Linked DNA regions of Mus musculus. Each later gene encodes a partner of the first gene's protein in a complex. Links are inferred from orthologs where the notes say so. Each region holds a gene or a part of one and is shown on either strand. Other genes may lie near its edges.

Evidence for each region. Proteins that work in one complex are often made in the same cells at the same time.
Region 2: the proteins of Pcna (region 1) and Zranb3 are in contact, whole or in part, in a crystal structure (PDB 5YD8), measured with the Homo sapiens proteins. The link is inferred for Mus musculus from reciprocal best matches to the Homo sapiens genes PCNA and ZRANB3. Residues at the interface, in NP_002583.1 of Homo sapiens: Met40, His44, Val45, Ser46, Leu47, Gln125, Leu126, Gly127, Ile128, Pro129, Asp232, Val233, Pro234, Tyr250, Leu251, Ala252, Pro253; in NP_115519.2 of Homo sapiens: Asp1071, Ile1072, Thr1073, Phe1075, Leu1076, Val1077.

What each region holds. Positions count from the first base shown.
Region 1 is NC_000068.7:132,247,665-132,258,038, reverse strand, and holds Pcna (proliferating cell nuclear antigen), read left to right. Parts: upstream 1-4,858; 5' UTR 4,859-5,002; coding exon 5,003-5,223; intron 5,224-6,038; coding exon 6,039-6,136; intron 6,137-6,280; coding exon 6,281-6,348; intron 6,349-6,600; coding exon 6,601-6,795; intron 6,796-8,141; coding exon 8,142-8,265; intron 8,266-8,343; coding exon 8,344-8,423; 3' UTR 8,424-8,753; downstream 8,754-10,374. UniProt on the Homo sapiens protein: Auxiliary protein of DNA polymerase delta and epsilon, is involved in the control of eukaryotic DNA replication by increasing the polymerase's processibility during elongation of the leading strand.
Region 2 is NC_000067.6:128,095,715-128,106,432, reverse strand, and holds the start of Zranb3 (DNA annealing helicase and endonuclease ZRANB3), read left to right. Parts: upstream 1-3,961; 5' UTR 3,962-4,180; exon of another isoform or gene 4,181-4,658; intron 4,659-10,718. UniProt on the Homo sapiens protein: DNA annealing helicase and endonuclease required to maintain genome stability at stalled or collapsed replication forks by facilitating fork restart and limiting inappropriate recombination that could occur during template switching events.

The sequences.
Region 1 (10,374 bases):
TTATCAGTTCCTTGGCTCTAGGACCTTTGATAGCCAACCAAAGCTGCTTCTGCCAGGACACTGTGCACTGGTTTGGTCTCTTGGGCTTAGAAGTGATGCCTAATCCAAATCTAAAGCTCCTATACAACCATTTTAAGACAGGTTGCTCAGGCCTGTAATCCTAGCACTCAGGAGGCTGAAACGGGATATGCATGCCTGAGGCCATCCTGGAATACATAGTGAGAAACCCTCAGTTTGAGTTAATGTCCTGAGCCACTGAAACCTGAAGTATACTAAAAAAAAGCAGGACTTTTAGAAGTTTTAAAATATTCTTCACGTCTTATGTTTAGAAGCCCATACAGCGAAATGTCATAAGGATTTACCAAAATATTTTTTTTACTGGATTTACATTCACTTGAATGTGATTTGACACCCCCACCACAGCCCATCCTGCTTCTCAGTTGTTTTAGGAAGGTCTTAACATAGCTCAGGCTGGCTGCAAACTTGTCGTGTAGCCAGGGATGACCTCAAACTCCTCTTCCCTCATCCTCCCTAAAACCAGAATTGCTGTTGCAGGAATCTCTCCGGAATAGGTACTCCCACACCAGGAGTGGAACAGAGACGTATTCACTGATGGGCCAAAGCCAAGATGGCTCCTGAAAGACTTCAGTTCTGAGGGGCCATTTCAGTGACTATGTTGGTCCCTGCACTTGAGAAGCAGAGGCACATGGATCTTTGAGTTCAAAGCCAGCCTAGTCTACAGAGTGAGTTCCAGGACAGCCAGGGCCACATAGAGAAATCCTATCTTGAAAACAAAAGAAAAAGAAAAACCAAAAATACTTCAGTTCCAAGTCCATTTTGCATTTCTTATTTTGTTTTAAAATGAGATGGGGTGAGCAGGCAAGCAAGTGAATGTCTTCCATTTCAGGTAGTTGTGAGCCACCATGTGGTTGCTGGGATTTGAACTCAGGACCTCTGGAAGAGCAGTCAGTGCTCCTATCCGCTGAGCCACCTCTTGAGCCCCACATCAACCTTTGAGTCCTACCACAGGCCACTAAGCACGCCTTTTCTTACCTGCTCATCAGTCTCCTCCTCTCTTTCTGTTTCTGAGGATGGAACCCAGAGACTTGTGTGTGTGAGCTACATCCCAGCCCCAGTGTCCACCATTAATCATTCTGTTCTCTATTACATTACAATGGTCTCTTCCACTCCTAAAACAGCTAGCTTCTCTGGTAAAATGCTACCTCCTTAGACAGTCTTTCTATAACTAGTACATAGCTAGTTTTAAGTTCTTGTTTCAACAGATTCATAGGCACAGCAGGCATCATGCCAATGGAATTTATCTGCTGGTGAGATGGCTAAGCAGTTAAGAGCACTGACTGCTTGCTCTCCCTGTGGTCCTGAGTTCCAATCCTAACAACCACATGGTGGCTCACAACCACCCAAAATGAGATCTGATGCCCTCTTCTGGTGTACAGCTACAGTGTACTTATGTATAATAATAAGTACATCTTTAAAATAATAATAATAATAATAATAATAATAATAATAAAATAAAATATCTCCAGGAGGCTGAGGCATAGCTCAAAGGCGGGTTTCTGTTTAGCTTTTCTGAAGTCCTGACATCAGTTCCCAGCATTAAGAAAAAGTCTCTAAAATAATTACATTTCTAGGCATTAAAGAAAATATTATATAAGCCCCCAGCACCGAGACAGAGCAACAGAAGAAACATAGTGTTGTTAGTGTTGTTAGCAAAGCAAGACCACAAGTCAGAAAGAACACATTCTATGGTTTGCAAAGGAAATGAGATTTTAAGAAACTCAAGAAAAGAAAATTCTCACAAATATATGTAGCTGTATGATGGGTTTTTATTTTTGTTTGTGCTGTGTTGTTGGACACACAGTAACACTAAGCTGCAAGACCAGTCCTACATTATCTCTTGCTGTGTGAAGGAATAATTCAGGCTGTCAAGACAGCTTAGCAGGTAAAGGGACTTAACTTACCACTAAGCCTGGCAACCTGAGTTCTATCCTGGGATCCAGGGTGAAAGAACGGAGCTGACTCTTACGTGTTTTCCTCTGACCTCCACACATGCGCTAAGGCATGCATGCACCACATATAAATAAATGTTAATAAAACAATAATTTATTACATGTAAAACAAGAAATGCCAGCATTAAAATTCACAAGTGGATGAAACTCCAGATGCAACAGAATAGTACTCTTTTTAAAAAATATTTTTAGACTTTTATCCCTAGACTTGCACTCTTGAGCATTGACATCCTTAACAAAGCAGAGTGTAATACATTAAAAACAGCAGCAGCAGCAGCTCAGTGGGAAACTGATAGCACTACTATAAACAGACAGTGTGAACACCTCTCTGTCGTGTCTTCTGTGAGGATGGAGATCATGTGTTGTACAGGTCAGGCAAGCACTCTATCACTATGTAACCCTAGCTCCCATGTTTTTCTTTCTTTTTTTTTTTTTGGTTTTTTTTTTTTTTTTTTTTTTGGTTTTTTGTTTCAGAGTTTCTCTGTGTAGTCTTGGCTGTCCTGGAACTCACTCTGTAGACCAGGCTGGCCTCGAACTCAGAAATTCACCTGCCTCTGCCTCCCAAGTGCTGGGATTAAAGGCGTGAGCCACCACGCCCGGCTCCCATGTTTTTCTTAAAAGATACCCACAAGGGTAATATATGATTAAGGGGTGGGGGCTGAAAGTATAGTAGTGGGGTTTTCTGGGTTTTGTTTTTAATTTTAAAAAAATTGTATTCAATATTTTAAAGATTTATTTATTTATGCATTTATACAAATACAGGTCCTTTCCTGCATGTACACCAGAGGATGGCATCACACAGCTGTGAGCTGCCATGCAGGTTCTGGGAATTGAACTCGGGACCTTTGGAAGAACAGCAAGTACTCTTAACCACTGAGCCATGTCTCCAGCCCATAACTGTTTTTATTTGTAACTATTATAGTATCAAAATTGTATGTGATATAGCACTGTGTGGTAGTTTGACAGTTTTCCTCGTTTGTGCTGCATAAAATAATGATGCACCTTATAAGCTGACATAAATGCTGGGCTGGATGCATACACACCAATTTTAAAAAGTCAAATTTGCCAGCCTGGTCTACCAAGCAAACTCCAGTACAGCCAGGGAACATGAGAGACCCTTATCTCAAACAAAACAAAACAAAACAAAACAACTGAATAGATCTAAAGTTCTGTAAAATCCACACGCCGGGCAGTGAACAGTGTAGGGAAACCGAACACTTGCCATCAGAGTGGTCGAGAGTATTCTAGACCTGATGGAATCAATGAATCTTCAATACTGTGAGAGTGATTAATACATTTGTGTCTCAGCATACCTAGATATATGGTGAAAAGAATAAAAGAAAAAAAAAGCTGAGAAATCCTACAAACCAAGATATTAAATGAAACTAAAGAGTTAAGCTTGATGCCAGACTGTGGCATCAAATTGTGAGTTCAAGGCCAGCATGGATAACAGAGTGAGTTTGATGCAAGCCTCAAAAAATTATGGAGACTCTTAACAGGCTGAGGCTATAGCTCAATAAGTTATACAGTTTTCTGGCTAAATCCCCAAGCCAGGAAAAGAAAAATCAAACAAGACAAACTAAAGGGAAATGCAGTGAATAAGGAAAGAATAAATGAACATGAAATGGAATTAATATGCTCCTATGTAAACTTTTTCCCCTTTGGTCAGTCTTGGTAGATAGTCCAAGGTGAGTTTAAATCTAGGCCCTCCGACCTCAGCCTTCCCATGTGCTGGAATTATAATCACTAATCACTCTCACCAGCTAAAACGGTCCTTTTAACTTTCTGAAATTGTATATACCTTATTAGTGAAAAGCAAACAAACAAAAAACCCTTACACACATAAATAAAACATCACACACCAAAAGCTTTCTTCACAACTCAACCAACTTCTATACAGTTAGAAGAGGCATTCCAAATGGAAACTATCAAGTTTCACATTAAAGTATTACACTTTCATTATCAAATATATTTTACCTACCACCAAAACCAAAAGAAAAAAACATGAGAAATTGAAAAACTCTATATCCTTTTGTAAATGATGTTAATCTACCTGCAGTCAGTTCTTCCCCATCCTCATAATCAATAGGAAAAACAAAAAAACAAAAAAACTTTAGTAGAACAAAATGCTGCAGCCCAGGGACATATGAAAGACGCTCCACCTGCAACAGCTAACATTTTCAGGATGGGGCTCAGGCTCGGGTTCATCTTCAGCCTAAAATTAAGATGAAAATACTAGTAATATCTACCTTTAGAAAAATGTAGAGAACCAGACATAAAAGGAAAATAATTACGTGATACATATGGACTTGGTATCTTCTTTGGAGAAGCGTTCACGTTAAGAGGTATTTTTTTAGTCTTTAGAGAGAAAAGTTCAGAGCGACGCACACAGAAAAGTGATATGAAATGGGGGGGGGGGTAGGGGTGTTAAAATATGGTGGCCTCTTTATTACTCGATATTTTGCAGCGTATTTCTTACGTTAGGGAAAACGCTCCGTAGTGTTTAAAATACTCTCCAGCTTCAAGGCAGGCCGCCGCGCACAGCTCGATTTGCCTGTGACTTCCACTTCCGTGGCGCGGAAACTTCCTAAGGATGGAAACTGCAGCCTAAACTCCCACAAACTTGGGCGGTGACGACAGCCTACGCGAACCCCGTGATGCCCCTCGCCTCCCAGGCTCCTACCCCGCAGCCCCGCCTTTGCATACGCGGTGGGGCGGGCCTTGCTCAAACCACGGGTACGATTGGTCCTTGAGGAGAGGTGGGTGGATCAGCGCTGTGGCGTCATGACCTCGCGCAGGGAAAAGGCGCGCGCCTAGGAAGCCGCGGCATTAGACGGTTGCGGGCGCAGAGGGTTGGTAGTTGTCGCTGTAGGCCTTCGCTGCCGCTTCTGCATCGTGAATCGGGGGACCTTGGCAGCCAGACCTCGTTCCTCTTAGAGTAGCTCTCATCTAGTCGCCACAACTCCGCCACCATGTTTGAGGCACGCCTGATCCAGGGCTCCATCCTGAAGAAGGTGCTGGAGGCTCTCAAAGACCTCATCAATGAGGCCTGCTGGGACGTCAGCTCGGGCGGCGTGAACCTGCAGAGCATGGACTCGTCTCACGTCTCCTTGGTACAGCTTACTCTGCGCTCCGAAGGCTTCGACACATACCGCTGCGACCGCAACCTAGCCATGGGCGTGAACCTCACCAGGTGAGCGGGTGGCGGGAGCGGGGCCCCACTCTTCCCGCTTCCGCTCTTGGCGGGGCTGTGACTCTGCACGCTCATTGGCTGGCTTGGCCATCCGCGCTTTCTGATTGGTCTATGGTGTCGGGGGCAGCCCTCACCAAAGCGCGCGGTTCCGAAAAGCCCGCGCTGGCAGTGGCGCCCACTCTGTTTCCGCGCCAAAGCCACAAAGCGGGAGTCCGCGGGAAAATGAGTGCTCCGGAGCTGTGCTCATTAAATGCCTGCAGCTTTGAGTGGCTGGTCTTAGCGCCTAATAAACGAGTCTTAGTGCAAATGTAATGTCGACTTAGAGTGACAATAGACCTTTTCTTGACTTCCAGAGTCTCACTGCGCATCATGGATTTGAGGGGAAATCTGTCAGTTTTAGCTTTTAACTTTGCTACAGCTACCTAGGTTAGTGCCTCCTGTATACGTGTTCAAGGACAGTGTGTGACTTATTTTAGTACAGATACATGGATTAGTGCCACTTGTATACATTTTGAAAGATTTACGAAAAGGCCAGACGTGATGGGGCACATTCTCCAGTACACTAGAAACCAAGGACACCCCGCTCAAAAAGATGCTTTCTCGAATGTTGGCTTTTAGTGCATTTTACTAAGTCGGTTTTAAGAATCACATATACCCGGTAATTTGCTTCACCCCTGAGAGAGTTTGGGGTACCCTTAGCCCCTTTAACAGTTCTCCAACCGTGAGTGTGAAATGGTACAACTTGTAATTGCTTTTTAAAATATAGATGTGGATTACATGTTGATAAAGCCTGTCTTTTTTTTTTTCCCCCCTAGCATGTCCAAAATTCTAAAATGTGCTGGTAATGAAGACATCATTACATTAAGGGCTGAAGATAATGCAGACACCTTAGCACTAGTATTCGAAGCACCAAGTAAGTTAAACACCTTTAAAACTCGGTAGTTACGTGTTGTTTCTGTTTCTCAAAACCAAAAAAAAATATTAACAATATTGTAAAATTTCCATCATAGATAGGACCGTGTGGTGTGCTTTGGTAACATTTTCCTTCTTTTGGTAGATCAAGAGAAAGTTTCAGACTATGAAATGAAGTTAATGGACTTAGATGTGGAGCAACTTGGAATCCCAGTGAGTTACCTTGTTTCTGATTGTGTGTTACCCTGCTGTGATACCAGCTGATGCGTGTTCTGAGTGGAGTGGTGGTATTGGGGATGAATGGCACACTGCCATTTCACTAAACCACAGCAGTCTAAAGTTGATTGAGTTTTAAAGAAACCAGAAGTCTTGCATTCTGAGTTCTGGTTAAGATGCTAAATCTTGAGAACATGAAGCTGAGCCTTCCCCCTTTTCTAGACTGACCTTTAACTTGTGGGTTTACAGGAACAGGAGTACAGCTGTGTAATAAAGATGCCGTCGGGTGAATTTGCACGTATATGCCGAGACCTTAGCCACATTGGAGATGCTGTTGTGATATCCTGTGCAAAGAATGGGGTGAAGTTTTCTGCAAGTGGAGAGCTTGGCAATGGGAACATTAAGTTGTCACAAACAAGTAATGTGGATAAAGAAGAGGAGGCGGTGAGTAGTAAGGGGGCGTCCAGTTAGGTGTCTGAAGCAGGGATGGAGCCTCGGCTTTTGTTTTTATTTATTCATTCATTTTGAGATGGAGTCTTGAGTAGACCAAGCTATCTTAGAGCTCAGAGACGACTCCATAAGCTTTTACAGGTAGCATTTGGAAAGCTAAGTGTACAGCCTTTTGCTTCCTGGAAATACTCTTGGCAAATAAGTGAGGGTTGGCAAGTGAGCAAAAGAAAATGGTTGGGGGTGTATGTAGCTTTATGTGTTGCAGGTTCAAGAGTATTTGCAGTCCCAAGGGAAATAAGAAAGACTTCACAAAATGTGGAAAGAGTTGTATTAAATGCTCTTGACAGTTACATCCATAGAGAAAGCTGGGCATGATGTCTCAAACCCACAACTGTAGTACTCAAAGCTACAGCAGGAAGATTCTCAGCTTAAAGTCAACCTGGCAGAAAATCTAGCTCAAAAAGAATGAGGAAGAAATTGGGAAGGCAAAGGAAGATGTTCTCCGAGTCCTCCTCATTCAAGTAGAACATACTAGGCCTCTTTAATTTCTAAGTATCCCTGAATCGAGGCTTTTTCTCAGGAATCCAATGTATATTTCATGGCTACACTTTTTTTTTTCTTTTTTAAGTTTTGCTAGCTAGCCTGAGCATCAGAATTACACACAGAAGTCTGAACTAAATAGGATTTTTAGGGTTTAGTATAGTGAAATTCAGAGTGCTTACTGCAAGTATTTAAGGTAAATATAAGGTGTTACTTGGCCTCTGCATGAATTTAAAGTAAATGAAAGTGTAAGAATTCGAACATAGATAAACACACAACCCAAGAACTAGTTCTTAACCTTAATCTGCTGAATTATTTCTACTTCCATATCAACTTCAGCTCCTCAGTTCTCAAATACTGACATGTAATTCATCAGTATTTGTCTGATGTGCAAGCATTTCCACAACAAAAGAAATTAAGGAATTTTTCAGTATCCACATGTTCAAGGATTGGGAATTGAATAAAATTGATAATCATACAATGAAGACTGGTTTACTGTCCCTTAGCTTGCATTCAGCTGTTGGTTCTTGTTTTTGGAAGTGGTTATGTGTTATCTTCCTCTCTTCATGCATTCTTTGCAAGAGAAGTATGTACAATCTGAATAGGAACAACTTTCTCCTTTGTTTTGATTGCTTGGGGTGTGGCTCTACAGGATGGGCAAGCTAGACTTTTTTCTTCTTTAGTCAAGGTTTTCATCAACCCTTCCAAAATGATAACTATTTGTTTTGCTTTGTGGTATAATACCGTGATCTAATAGTGTGAGTTTCTGATGTCTACAGTGAGCCTGTTTTCTCCTCTAGGTAACCATAGAGATGAATGAGCCTGTTCACCTAACGTTTGCTCTGAGGTACCTGAACTTTTTCACAAAAGCCACTCCACTGTCTCCTACAGTAACACTCAGTATGTCTGCAGATGTGCCCCTTGGTAAGATGATAAGTTTGAACATTGTTTTGTAATGTGGTATTTATAGTATTCGGTGGTTTAATTTTTCCTGTCTTTCAGTTGTAGAGTATAAAATTGCTGACATGGGACACTTAAAGTATTATTTGGCTCCCAAGATTGAAGATGAGGAAGCATCTTAGGCATTGCTAGAAATTGAGAAAACTAAACCTTTGAAGATTGCTCCTGAGATGCCAGCGTGTCCTGAGGTCTTTTCTGTCACCAAGTTTGTACCTGAGTATTCTTAAATATTAAAATAAAATATGTAGATATCTTCTGTAAATAACCTACTTTCTTTTCTCTCCATTCTCCATAATTTGCTTAAAGAATAAGCTCCAAAGTAAAAACTAGTTTTGTTAACATGAATGTTTCTGCTTTACAAATACTGGTGATTTTCATCAATGATCTTGACGCTAAATGCAGTTTTAAGAAATATTGTTCAATTTAAATAAAGTTAACAATTTGAAAAGTCATAGAGCAGTGCCGCCTTTGTACCATGGCTACTGAATAGTTATACCCTGTTAGGTAAATGGGCTTTTGTTCTCTCTTCCATCGTGGAGATAGCAATAAAAAAATGTTTCTCTTGAGTTTATGTAATTACGTTGTGCAAAGTTTTCTGGTAGCCTTGTTTGGGATGTAGCTCTTTTAAAATACAACTTTAATGGCAGTGCAGGGGGTGGGGTGGATAAATCTCTCCCTAGGCCAACCAGGACTACATACAGTCCATCTTGAGTGAAGCAAAGGCCCAAACTTCGTGGCTACTTGATCCAAGAAGGGTTAAAAAGGCCCTGTGGTTTTGATCATGATATGCTACATAAAACTAAAGAATATTTGAGTATATTTATTGTGTATGTGTGAGGCTCATGTGGGGGTCAGGACAATTTTATAGGAATTGGTATACCCCAGCACCCTGGCTTCCAGGGGTTGAATGAAGTTCTTCAAGCTTGGTGACAAATTATCCTACCTCCCCTCTCAGTTTTTATGTGTGTGTGTCTTTTGCAGGTATGAGTGAGCATGCGTGTGTTAACCTGGTTTGGTGTGGGGAACCATTTTCAGTTCTTGCTATATTTCAGCAGGATCTCAAACCATGGCTAGTATAGAGCCTGTTTGCTCTGTTCCGGGAGGCCACATTTGAAGGCCTTTAAATACTAAGCTCTATCTGTGGACCCCAAGATATTTTTCCTTTGTATTTCATGTTTGACAGTATGTAGACAATACAGCTTTGTTCTGGGAGGTTGTTGGTTAGAGCTCATGCCTAGTAGCTACAACTGTTCAATACTTTGAGCCAATTAAGTGCAGAAGGAAGTAGCCTGCAAATACTGCTCTCAGAGAACTCTGGAGTGGTGGGAATGCTTTATCAAGACGTCACTTTCATGAGGATGAATGTTAGAACTCAGCTGTGTCTGGTAGGTAGGACACTTACCTGGGTAGTGTTTAATAATCAGGTAGTAATAACAAGATTTTGGGGCTGTGAGAACGCTAATTAGTGAGTGGTGACCAGTGTCAGCATAGGGGTGTTTAGGACAGGGCAAGATTCCTGGTGGGTATCCCTTGTCCACCCCTCTGGATACCCAGGACTCTGCTGTGCACCGATGTGGCCATGGGGTCAGGACTGGAACCTCAACAGTTTTGCTGTGAACTCGATCCTGGTGGGTGAGACCCTAAGTACGCGCCCGCCCACCCTATGGAGGTAGCAGGTCCTGGTCACCAGGGCAAAAGCAAGCCGCTACCCGGTTGAGCATGGTGGCATTCGCCATTTGTCCCAGGCAAACCTTATGTTCGAGGCCAGCCTAATCAGCATCCTGAGTTCCAGGACAGCCTGCGCTACGTAAAGAAACGCTACCAAACATAAAACAAGACAGCAATGAAGCCCTCCAGCCATGTGCCCTGGAAGCAAGATTCGATGACACGATTTCCTGGTGACAGCACTTCCGGTGCGCCTCTATCCGCCACGTCACTTCCGCTGGGCTGTCCTTAAGACCGCCCCTTCCGCTTGGCTGTTGAGCGAGCCTTGCGAGCGCGCCTAACGGAGAACGGGGAGCGCAGCGCGGGTAGGGGGCGGGCGCGCGCTCCCGGAAGCCAGCCGCGAGACCT
Region 2 (10,718 bases), on another chromosome or scaffold:
TGACCATGTAGATGCTGTCAATCTTGGATAGTACCAGCAACACTTCATAACACAACTGTTGGCATGCTAATCGAAACCTGGCTCGGCTGCACCAACTCCAAGGACACCTTTATGTGTGAAAACTATACTTTCAAATATACTTGGGAACAGGGAGGAATATGGTATTTCAAAGAAAAAAAAATACCCAAGGACTGCTAAACAATGGAGTAGGAACTAAAGAGCAAGGATTTAACTCAATGTTGGAATACTTGCTGGCATGTATGAGGTGAAAGGTTCAATCCCTAGCATTGAGGAAAAAAAAATAGCAAAAATAAAACCAACAAACCTCAAGAGCACAAAGCAACAGTCTGGTAAGATAACTTTCTCAGTCTTAACTTTGTATCAGTCACTTGGTTTCTCTGGTAACAGAATGAGTCCAAAAGCAACTGTAAACTAGACCTTGAAACATATTAACAAAGTAAAGCAGGACAACAACCCTAGTTTACTACTAAAACACTAAAACACAAAGCACATTTTTATTATGGGTAATCTATTTGAAATATGTTCCAAACGCAGAAATTTTAAACAAAAGGAAAAAAGATACTGTGTATGACAAAATTCTCTTTGATACCCAATGACCAATTTCATATATTCTGTCTGCTTAAAAAAAAAATGGCTAAAGGCTAGCAAGATGGTTTAGTGCATAAAGGCACTTGGCCTTCAAATCAGACCACCTGAGTTCAATCCCAGAGACCAATAGGATAGAAGAAGAACTGATTTCTCCTAACCTTACCACTGTCCTCCACCCTCCTAAAATGTATCATGGTACTTCTGTGCTGCGCCCCGTACCCCAGTAAATGTAATAAAACAAAAACAAAAAAATTGGCTATGAGATATTGTTTTAAGCCACTGTGTACATTAACACTCAACAGTAGAAGAGATTTTTGAGACTGCAACAATACTCTGCATATGAACAGCAAATTCATTCTCTAAATATGAAAATGAGAAAACAAAGATAAAAACTTAATGTAACAAATATATACATGTGAGACACAATCCTAGTAGCTTTACATAGTCTATTTACAGCTCCATAGATTAAGCATTATCCTCCCCATTATTAACCGAGGTTAGGTTAGATTAGCCTCATAAAATGGTCCCACAAATAGTAAAAGAATGTAGTCCCCTGTATTTTCATCAGACCTTCCATACAAAGAATTCATGAGACCTAAATATATCACTGCATAAATTGCCAACTAATTATCAAGTTTGGGGAACTATGCTAGGGAATGTATGCTATGGGGACTCAATGGAGAAGCTGAGGGAACTAATCTTCAAAAGCTATGTACTACATTAAAAAAATCAGTAACACATAACCAGATTCCTTCTTAATCCAAGTGAATGGATCTATTTTACTTCTGTATCTACTTGCATTATTTTGAGAACATGGCAGATTCCTAAGGTACTTCTGTGACCCAGAAGAAATAGTCTATTAGTCAAAGCATAGGTTGTTTATTCAGAACCAGTGTTCTCTCTAAAACAAATAAATCTTAGAAATGGGGTGGTCTGTAGCCATGCCTATTATAGATTACAGGGTCCACTAAAGTCATATTCTCCTAGGCTGAAAAAGCAGAGTGGAATTTGAAAAGATGGGCACACTATCAAAATCTGATACAATTATAAGACAATCCCCTAAAATATAAAGACATAAAATCTGAAGAGAATGATATTTCTTCAGTTAAATGGGTAGCTACATGAACTCTACTGATTCAAGTATTATAAGGAAGGGGCTTCGAGGTTGATTTCATCTTTTTATGACTCGATGCTCTTGGAATCAATGACATTTAAATTTAAGAGGTTTCTTTAGCTGGGCGATGGGGGGCCACACCTTTGATCCCAGCTCTTGGGAGGCAGAGACAGGTGGATTCTGTGAGCTCAAGGCCAGCCTGGTCTACATTGTGAGTACCAGGACAGCCAGGGCTACACAGAGAGACCCTGTCCAGGGAAAAAATCTAAAATAAAGGGGAGTATGGTATGAGATTCTTTAACGTGACCCAGCCAAACTATAACCTTAGGAGTGGGATATGTGTGTTTGTGTGTATTCATTCATGCTAGAAATTCTATTTTTACCTCTTCAGAAATGCACCTTATTATTTAGTAAGCAGCACTGCTTTGGAAGATACCTCTTCACCTCTAACTAGTTTAGGGGACTTGCTCTCTCAGGACCCAATTCACAGAAGTCACAACAGCCAAACCCAATTTTGTTTCTCCTTAAAAGCAACTTCAGACAACAGTGACAATCTCTGGTACATAACCACAAGAAGAAAAAAAAAAAAACTTCTAATATACAGGGATGGAAAGGGGGGAGGGGGATTTACATCATAACGTCCCCCGTAGGTTCGTCCATCAACGACCAAGGCTCTGACAGTCATTCAACTTTCTTGCTAATTTCCCCACTGTGTTTTTTCTAGCAGTACGGGCAGTACGGGCACGACGTGCTGTTTCCCTTTTGGTGTGTGTGACAATTCCCCGGAGCGGGGGTATCAGCCCCGGGCATCTGGTCCAGGCCCCGGAGAACAGTTCCGCGAACGGTCCCTGCTCCAGCCTGGCCTGACTATGTTGCTTTTCCCCTCCGTCCTCCCCGGATCTCCAGGGCTCGCAAGAGCAGCAGCTGCAGCAGGGACGCTCGGGAACCTGTCCCCAGCTCCCCCGCTAGGCCTCAAGGGGTTGGCGCTGCACATGGCCCCCAGCGAAGCGGCGGGCACCGCGCGGTGGAGGCGACTAGAGGGCTCGCCTCAGAACCCGACGGCCCCTGGCGGGCCGGAGGAGAGGGGAGGGACGCCGTCTCCTCAGCGCTTAGCTCCCCGGCTGCCTCACTCTCCCGCTCCGTTAGCGCTACCGGTTGGCGGGCGGGGGAGGGGAGCGAGCGCGTTATTCCCGGGGCGCCGCGGGGGAGGGGACAGCATCTCTTACCCGCGTTACTGAGAAGGAGCAGGAGGAGGTGGCGGGAGCGCGGCACAGCGGGGCGACGGCGGGGCCGGCTGGTTGCAAGGTAGAGTCTCACGGAAGGGAATTAACCCCATCACCAGCCCGGACACCGGCTCCAGCGGCAGCCGCGGCGGCAGAATCCCGCCCCTTCCCACCACGCACTGGCCCCGCCTCTCCGTCGCGTTGACGGAAAGCAGCCTACCTCATACGCTAGGTCAACATTAAGTGACATACAAATTATCCAATCAGCGTTTGAAAACCACTTTCGCTCCACCCCCATTATCACTGCGGGACAGCGGGAGAACGGGACTAAGTCTATCTCCACCCACAAAAGAAAAAGAACCAATCCCGGGCAAGTTGTCGTCCCTGAACGACGTAAGAGTCAACCAATGATAAAGCTAGGAGGACAGCCATTTTGCCCACTTGTGAAAGAGCCACCTTTCCCACGAGTAGAATCCTGAGGTGGGCGAGTTCCGGGCGATTTTAATCACTGGAGATGTGGTAGACAACTCTCTTTCTTCAGGGAATGATTATAGAGCTTTTTAAGGATGAAAGGACAATTTTGTCGTTCATGTGGGAAGATGAGAGGAAGGCTTTAAGGATGTGGCTCCGCCCCTTAGCGGTAACGGGTTCCAGGCTGAACACCTGGTTCCTCCAGTCTTAGTGGTGGAGGCAGGGCTTCTGAGCACTTTGGCTCCTGCGACTACAGTTCCCAAGATGCTTTGAGACCCTGTTTTCCTCATTTTGCTTCCGGTAGTGTTTCATGGGAATTGTAGTTCTTGAGAGGTTACGGTGTAACCTCCTTGTCTAGATGAGTAAGAGGAAATTTTTGAATAATTTGGAGTTGAGAATGAAGTCGCAAGGTTCTAGTCAGGTCTTTTCGCATCGCTAAAGGAAGGAGAATATAACAGGGTTGGGAATTTTCTCAACACATTACAATGTTTTAGAGTGCTGGTATTTGAACTCTTCCAAGTCTAGGTCATCCGTTTAACGTCACTTCCGCTTAGTTGAAGACGCTTGCAAAAAGTTTGGCGGGAGTTGAAGATTATGAAGCTAGTGCTGCATTTTGGCGGACTGTATAGGGCAAGAGATGGGAAATTGACTGCACTTTAATTGCGCTATAAGAAAATAGTGGGTAACAGTCGGGCGTGGTGGCTGATGCCTGTAACAGCTGGAAGCTGAAAGGTCGCCGCGAGTTCATAGCCTGGGCTACAGAGTGAGTTTTAAAACAGCTGGGACTACAGAATTCACCTTGTCTAAAATAACCCCCCCCCCCGCACTGCCCCCTCCCCCTAAAAAAACCCATCCAGAAATATGAAATGGCATGGGTGTAATTCTCGAGCCTGTAATGTAATTTTCTACTTTGCTACTTAGTCTTGCAGAGCCAGTGTTTATCAGATCTGTTCACTCTTGAGTTTGTAGAGGATGCTTTAATTTGCCTTTAGCTACTGTCTGTGAAGCAGCATAGGTTCATGTCCTGGAAGGTATTGGAAATTCTGAACTAATTCCTCCCATTTATACAAATAGTCCCCAGAAGTCAGAAGTTGCCTTTGAACAGGATCTTAAAAAAAAAAAAGTCTCCTCCATCATTTTTATGGAGACTTTGTCTTACTACTTTTCTCATAAATATTTATTGAGCACTTACACTAGTGGTAAATATACTAGGCTTAAAGGATTGAAGAGTGCACAGAAAGGTAAGTTTTGTTTAAAACGAGTTAGAAAGATTAAGCAAAATTTATGTTACTTGGTCTTTTTAATATCTCCAAATTTAGCATCTTCATAGTTATGTTTTGTGTGTTGATTTGGTTTCCTCTTTGCTTTCTACTTTTAGATTTAAAAACCATTCCTTTCTATTTTCATTATTTTTATTGAAGTATTAAGTCTGTGTCCAGAACTGTTAAGAGGTGTTTTATATACTATGTGGATGAGAGTCCTAACTAGTGCAATCCCAGAGACAGAAATATATCTGCAACTTCCAAGCAGACAAAACACTCTTACTTTTTTAAAGAAAATAAATGTTTTTGCTTTTCAATATAATACTTTCACGTGTGTGTGTGCAAGTGTGTGTGTGTGCTATATGAATATTAAACAGAAGGCATCATCCCCATCTAGGAGTTAGAGTTTCAAGTGATAACTTAGCATTGTCCATAAATGCTTAGTTGGGATTTTTTTCATAAGTCCTTCCAGAGTAGAAGTCAATATGTAGTAATAATGACAATCATATTACTGAATATTTAATCTGAGCCCCAAAAGGGCTAAGGGTGTTTAGTATGTCTTTTATTTTTTTGAGTGCTGGAGACAAACCGAGAGCCTTGCATTTGCTGGATAATGTGCTTTGTCACTGTGTTCCAGCCTCACTTTCAACTCTAAACCATTGCTTCTCAAATGTTTAGGAATCTCAAAAAGTTCAGCCTTCCCCTGCCACCGGGATGCTGGGATTAAAGGCTGTCACCACCATGCCTAGCAAAAAGGTGTTACTTTTTGTTCTGTTTTGTTTTTTTCTTAAAGGTTTATTTATTTTATGTGTCTGAGTGCGTGCATGTATGTGCACCATGTACATGCCTATAAGAAGTCATTGGATCTCCTGAAACAGAAGTTCCAAATGGTTGTGAGCCACCTTCTAGGTGCTACAAATCTAACCTGAGTCCTCCGCAAAAGCAGCAAGTGAACCACTGGCCCATTATTCTTGGCCCTCTGCAGAATGACCTGTTAGGTTTTTTTACAGTCCAGTCTTTATCCCCATCCTGTTCCGCCCCCTGACTGTTCCTCATCCTATAGTTCCCTCCACCCCCAATCTCCAAGAGGATGCCCCCACCCCACCAGACCTCCCTACTCCCTGGGGCCTCCAGTCTCTTGAGGGTTAGATGCATCTTCTCTCACTTAGTCCAGACCCTGCAGTCCTCTGCTGTGGATGTGTTGGGAATCCTCATATCAGCTGGTGCATGCTGCCTGGTTGGTGGCCCATTGTCTGAGAGATCTCGGGAGTCCAGGTTACTTGAGACTGCTGTTCCTCCAACAGGGTTGCCCTCCTCCTCAGCTCCTTCCAGCTTTTCCCTAATTCAACCACAGGGTCAGCAGCCTCTGTTCATTGGTTGGGTGGAAGTATCTGCATCTGACTCAGCTGCTTGTTGGGTCTTCGGAGGGCAGTCATGATCTGTCCCTTTTTGTGAGAACTCCATAGCCTCAGTAATGTGTCAGGTCTTGGGGCCTCCCCTTGAGCTGGATCCCACTTTAGGCCTGTAGCTGGACCTCTTTTTCCTCAGGCTGTTCTCCATTTTAGTCCAGGCAGTTTTTTCCAGATAGGAACAATTATGGGTCAGAGTATTTGACTGTGGGATGGCAACCCCATGCTTCCACTGGAGGTGGATTCTACAAGTTCCTCTCCCCACTGTAGGGCATTTCATCCAAGGTCCCTCCCTTTGAGTCCTGAGAGAGTCTCACCTCCTGGATCTCTGGTACATTCTAGAGGGTCCCCCTACCTCCAACTCCCAAGATTGCCTGTTTTGATTCTTTCTGCTGGCCCTCAGTCCTGTTCCTCCCCCACCTCCCAATTGTTCCCCTTTACAGAATGACCTGTAGTTGTGTGGATTGTATCCTGGGTACAGAGTGACCTGTTAGGATGGCATGCTACTGCTTTATTTAAAGCACAGTGGGTTAATTATGACAATATTACTGTCATTGTTTATGATGCCTGTATTCCATGATGTAGCTCAAATATAACCTATTTCTTGCTAATGGTTATTTACAGTTGCCAATCAGTAATATTTTTTTGTTACTGTAATGAAAGTATATAACAAAATCTACCATTTTAAGCATTAAGTGTGGACTTTACAGTGCATTAACCTTTTATACCTTGGTGTACAATACAGCTGTGAAAGGTCTTTCTTACATAGCAAAAAATTCTGTTTTCACTCTGCCTGACTCCTTGCAAGCACCATTCTGCTTTCTGTTTCCAAGAGCTTATCTTCTATCTCATGTAAAGGAACAGACTCCTGCAGCGTTTGACATTTTATAACTAGCTTATTTAACTTAATATCTCCAGAGTTCATTCATGTAGGCTGTGCAAGGATTTCCTTCTCAATGCTGAGTCCCTGGCACTTAAGTATCACATTTTATAAATGAATTCATCTGTTGGCAGGCATTTAGTTTGCTTTCCCTTCCTGGCTTTTGTGGCTAGTGCTGCAGGAGTACAGGAGGGCAGATCCTTTGTTTCTGAGTGTGTACAGACCCTGTGGACCGGAGTTTACCCTGGGGCAGTCAGTTCTCTTCTATCAGGTGGGACTGGAGAGCAGACTCAGGTCACTGGCCTTGGCTGCGGGAGCTTTTACCCTCTGACTTGTCGGCTACTTTTAGGTTCATCCGAAGAGTCTCTATGACTCCTAGATTATTCTCCAGGAGGAATATTTCCACGTTCTTTACAATAGCACTGTATGAGAGAACCCGTTTCCTGTGTGCGTGGTGTGCAGCTGTACTCCCTTGTGTGGGTGCATGTGGAAACCAGAATTTCACGTTGGGGTGTCTTCTTCCTTCTCTTCCCCACTATACTTTTTTGGTTTTTTTGAGACAGGGTTTCTCTGTGTAGCTCTGGCTGTCCTGGAACTCACTTTGGAGACCAGGCTGGCCTTGAACTCAGAAATCCGCCTGCCTCTGCCTCCAGAGTGCTGGGATTAAAGGCGTGGGCCACCACGCCGGGCCCACTATACTTTTTAAGACAGACTTTCACTGAACGGGAAGCTTCCCAATCAGTTAGACTGGCTAGCTTGGGAGCTGCCAGGACCCTATTGTCTTTGACCTCCCCACCCCAGTGCTTGGGTTACAGTTTAATTTTGTATGGGTTCTATGGAGGTCAGAATTCAGGTTCTCAGACTTGGATAACAAACACTTTACCCACTGAGCCTTGTCTTCAGCCACCTCCTTCCTCTTTCCTATCTCTTTACTCTATCCAGTCTGATTGTAAAGTGATGACTCATTACTTTGTATCTATATGTACCCCACCTGGCTGAAAATGTTTTATATGTATATTGCCCATTGATGTCTTGTAGCTTGTTGCTGTCTTAGCATCATAATATTTTTAAAGAAATACTTCAAACCCAGCATGGTTGTGTACGCCTTTAATTCCCAGCACTTGGGAGGCAGAGGCAAAAGGATCTCTCTGAGTTTGAGGCTAGCCTGCTCTACAGAACAAGTTCCAGTACAGCCAGGGCTACATAAAGAAACCCTGCCTCAAAAAAAACTGAAGGGAAAAAAGACAGACAGACTTCAATTTTTTCAGTTTGTCATATATTTTGGGAATCTTTACTCACATTTAAAATTTTATTTTTTAACTTTTTTTCCAAGAAATGAATTTGTAGTACTTTAGTGTTTAAATCTAAGTCTTTTCTTTTTTGTAGTATCTATCTGTGATGTCAAAAGTAGTTTCCCACTCTAGTATTCAAAAGCAAAATACCATATATTTTTTTTCATATTTAATAGTCACCTGTATTATTCTTTGGTATAAAGAAAAAAAATGGGATTATTTTGTAAATGCTAGGGATTTAACACCAGGATTCCTGCATTCTATCACTGAACTAGCTTTTGGTCTTGTTTTGTTTTTGTTTTTATATGAGCCTCAAGTTGCTCAGGATAGCCTTGAACTCCCTAGGTAGCTGAGGCTGACCTTGAACTCCTAATCCTTCTCTTCTGCCTCCTGAGTACTGGGATTACAGGCACTGGCTAGGCACTCCTTAAATATTATCAGATGACGAATCTGGAAGCAATGTTGTAGAATGGAAAAGTTCAGACTATCACACCAGAGTCCTAGACTAGGTGTCATCACAGTTCTGAGACTTGTGTAAATTATTTATTAGCTCATTATCCCAACTTTAACATGCAGATTGAATGAAAAAAGAAAGAAAGAAAGAAGTTAAAAGAAAAGGAACATGACTAGCCTAGGTATATTGGAGGAGAAAGATTATTATTGATAATAGGGCAGAGGCAGGGACATCTAGGAGAGTCCAGAGTAGGTATGATCTGGCTGAGCTGGGCCATGTGGAGAGAGGGGAACCAGGTGCAGTAGCCAAGAGGGCAAAGGTGCAAAAGAGGCTGGTAACCAAAATGGCTGGATTATATAAGGAAGAACTTCTGGGAAAGGGCAGCCCAGCCCCTGGTCTGGAGAGTTCGGGTAGAGGGTAGGGTGTGCCAGCCATATCCCGTACTATGTAGGGACTGAGGGATGCTGGGAGAACTTGGGTGCCAGGTCCATTTTGATATGTTAAGTAGTTACCTCATTTGTCCAGGGTTTGAAACTTAACACAGATAACAATATTTTGTGGCCCAGCAAGATAGCATAATGGATAAAGGCACCTGCTTGCTGGCAAGGATGAAGACCTGGCCTTAGTCCCCAGAATTTACCTGGTGGAAAGATGATTAGTCCCCAAAAGTTCCCTGATCTCTACACGGATGCTGTAGTACTTTCAAAGACATGTAGAACCCCTCACAGGATAAGTAAATGTGAAAAACAACGACAAAGGGCTGGAGAGATGGCTCAGTGGTTAAGAGCACTGACTACTCTTTCAGAGGTCCTGAGTTCAATTCCCAGCAACCACATGGTGGCTCACAACCATCTGTAATAGGATCTGATGTCCTCTTCTGGTGTGTCTGAAGACAGCAACAGTTACAGTGAAGTCACATATATAAAATAAATAAATCTTAAAACAAACAAACAAGCCAGGCAGTGGTGGCACACGCCTTTAATCCCAGCATTTAGGAGGTAGAAGCAGGCGGATTTCTGAGTTCAAGGCCAGCCTGGTCTACAGAGTGAGTTCCAGGACAGCCAGGGCTACACAAAGAAACCCTGTCTTGGAAAACAACAACAACAACAACAAAAATATATGCTTTGTATGTTGCTTTGAGAATTACAGAAGATTTTATCTCTTAGCATAGTGCCTCTATAGAAGAAATTATAAGTGGGAGTTGGTGTGGTATTGGTGGTTTATTGGTGAGCAGAGTTGCTGTTAAGTTTCAAACCTGGGACCAAAGGCCAAAGTACCTACTTAATATATCAAAGTGGACCTCTCTGCCAGGTTCTTCCTCAGTCCCTACCTGTTACAGGGTACGGCTGGCATACACTACCCCCCCCCCCCCGAACTCCCCTTCCCTAGGGGCTGGGTTTCTCATCCTCTGGTTTGGCCTCCTAGCTGCTACTCCTAGTTCCTCTCTCTTCCCTCTCCCTCTCCTTCCCCTTCTCCTCATAGGGCTCAGGGTCATGACTACTCTGGACTCTCCCAGATTCCCTCCCACATATATCTTTTATAAACTTTCTACTCCACCATACCTAGGAGCAGTCATGTCCTTTTTATTTCTTTTTTCCATTCAGCTACCTTCCAATAAATGGGGGTTATTTTATCATTATCCCGAAAACAGTTATCTATGGAACAAAAGGTGTTTTTGCTTTTAAAGTAATTGATATTTGATATAGCAGCTTAGGAAGCCTTGTGATAAGCCAGTCAGAAAATATTATGTAATTCTGTTTATTGCAGTCAATATACTATTTCATAATATTAAATTTTGACACTAAAACATTCCAGTTTATTAAATTTAGGCTTTAGTTTACTCATGACCTATAAGTATAGCTAGATTGGGGCTGGAGAGTAGTTTAGCTGTTAAGAGCACTAGATCTAATCTTATTCACTCTGTGAACTGCACAAACTTCTGTGGTATAATTTGAATTTAGTATATACTTCGTGTGTACTAGAGTGACTTGTGCATGCAAAGCA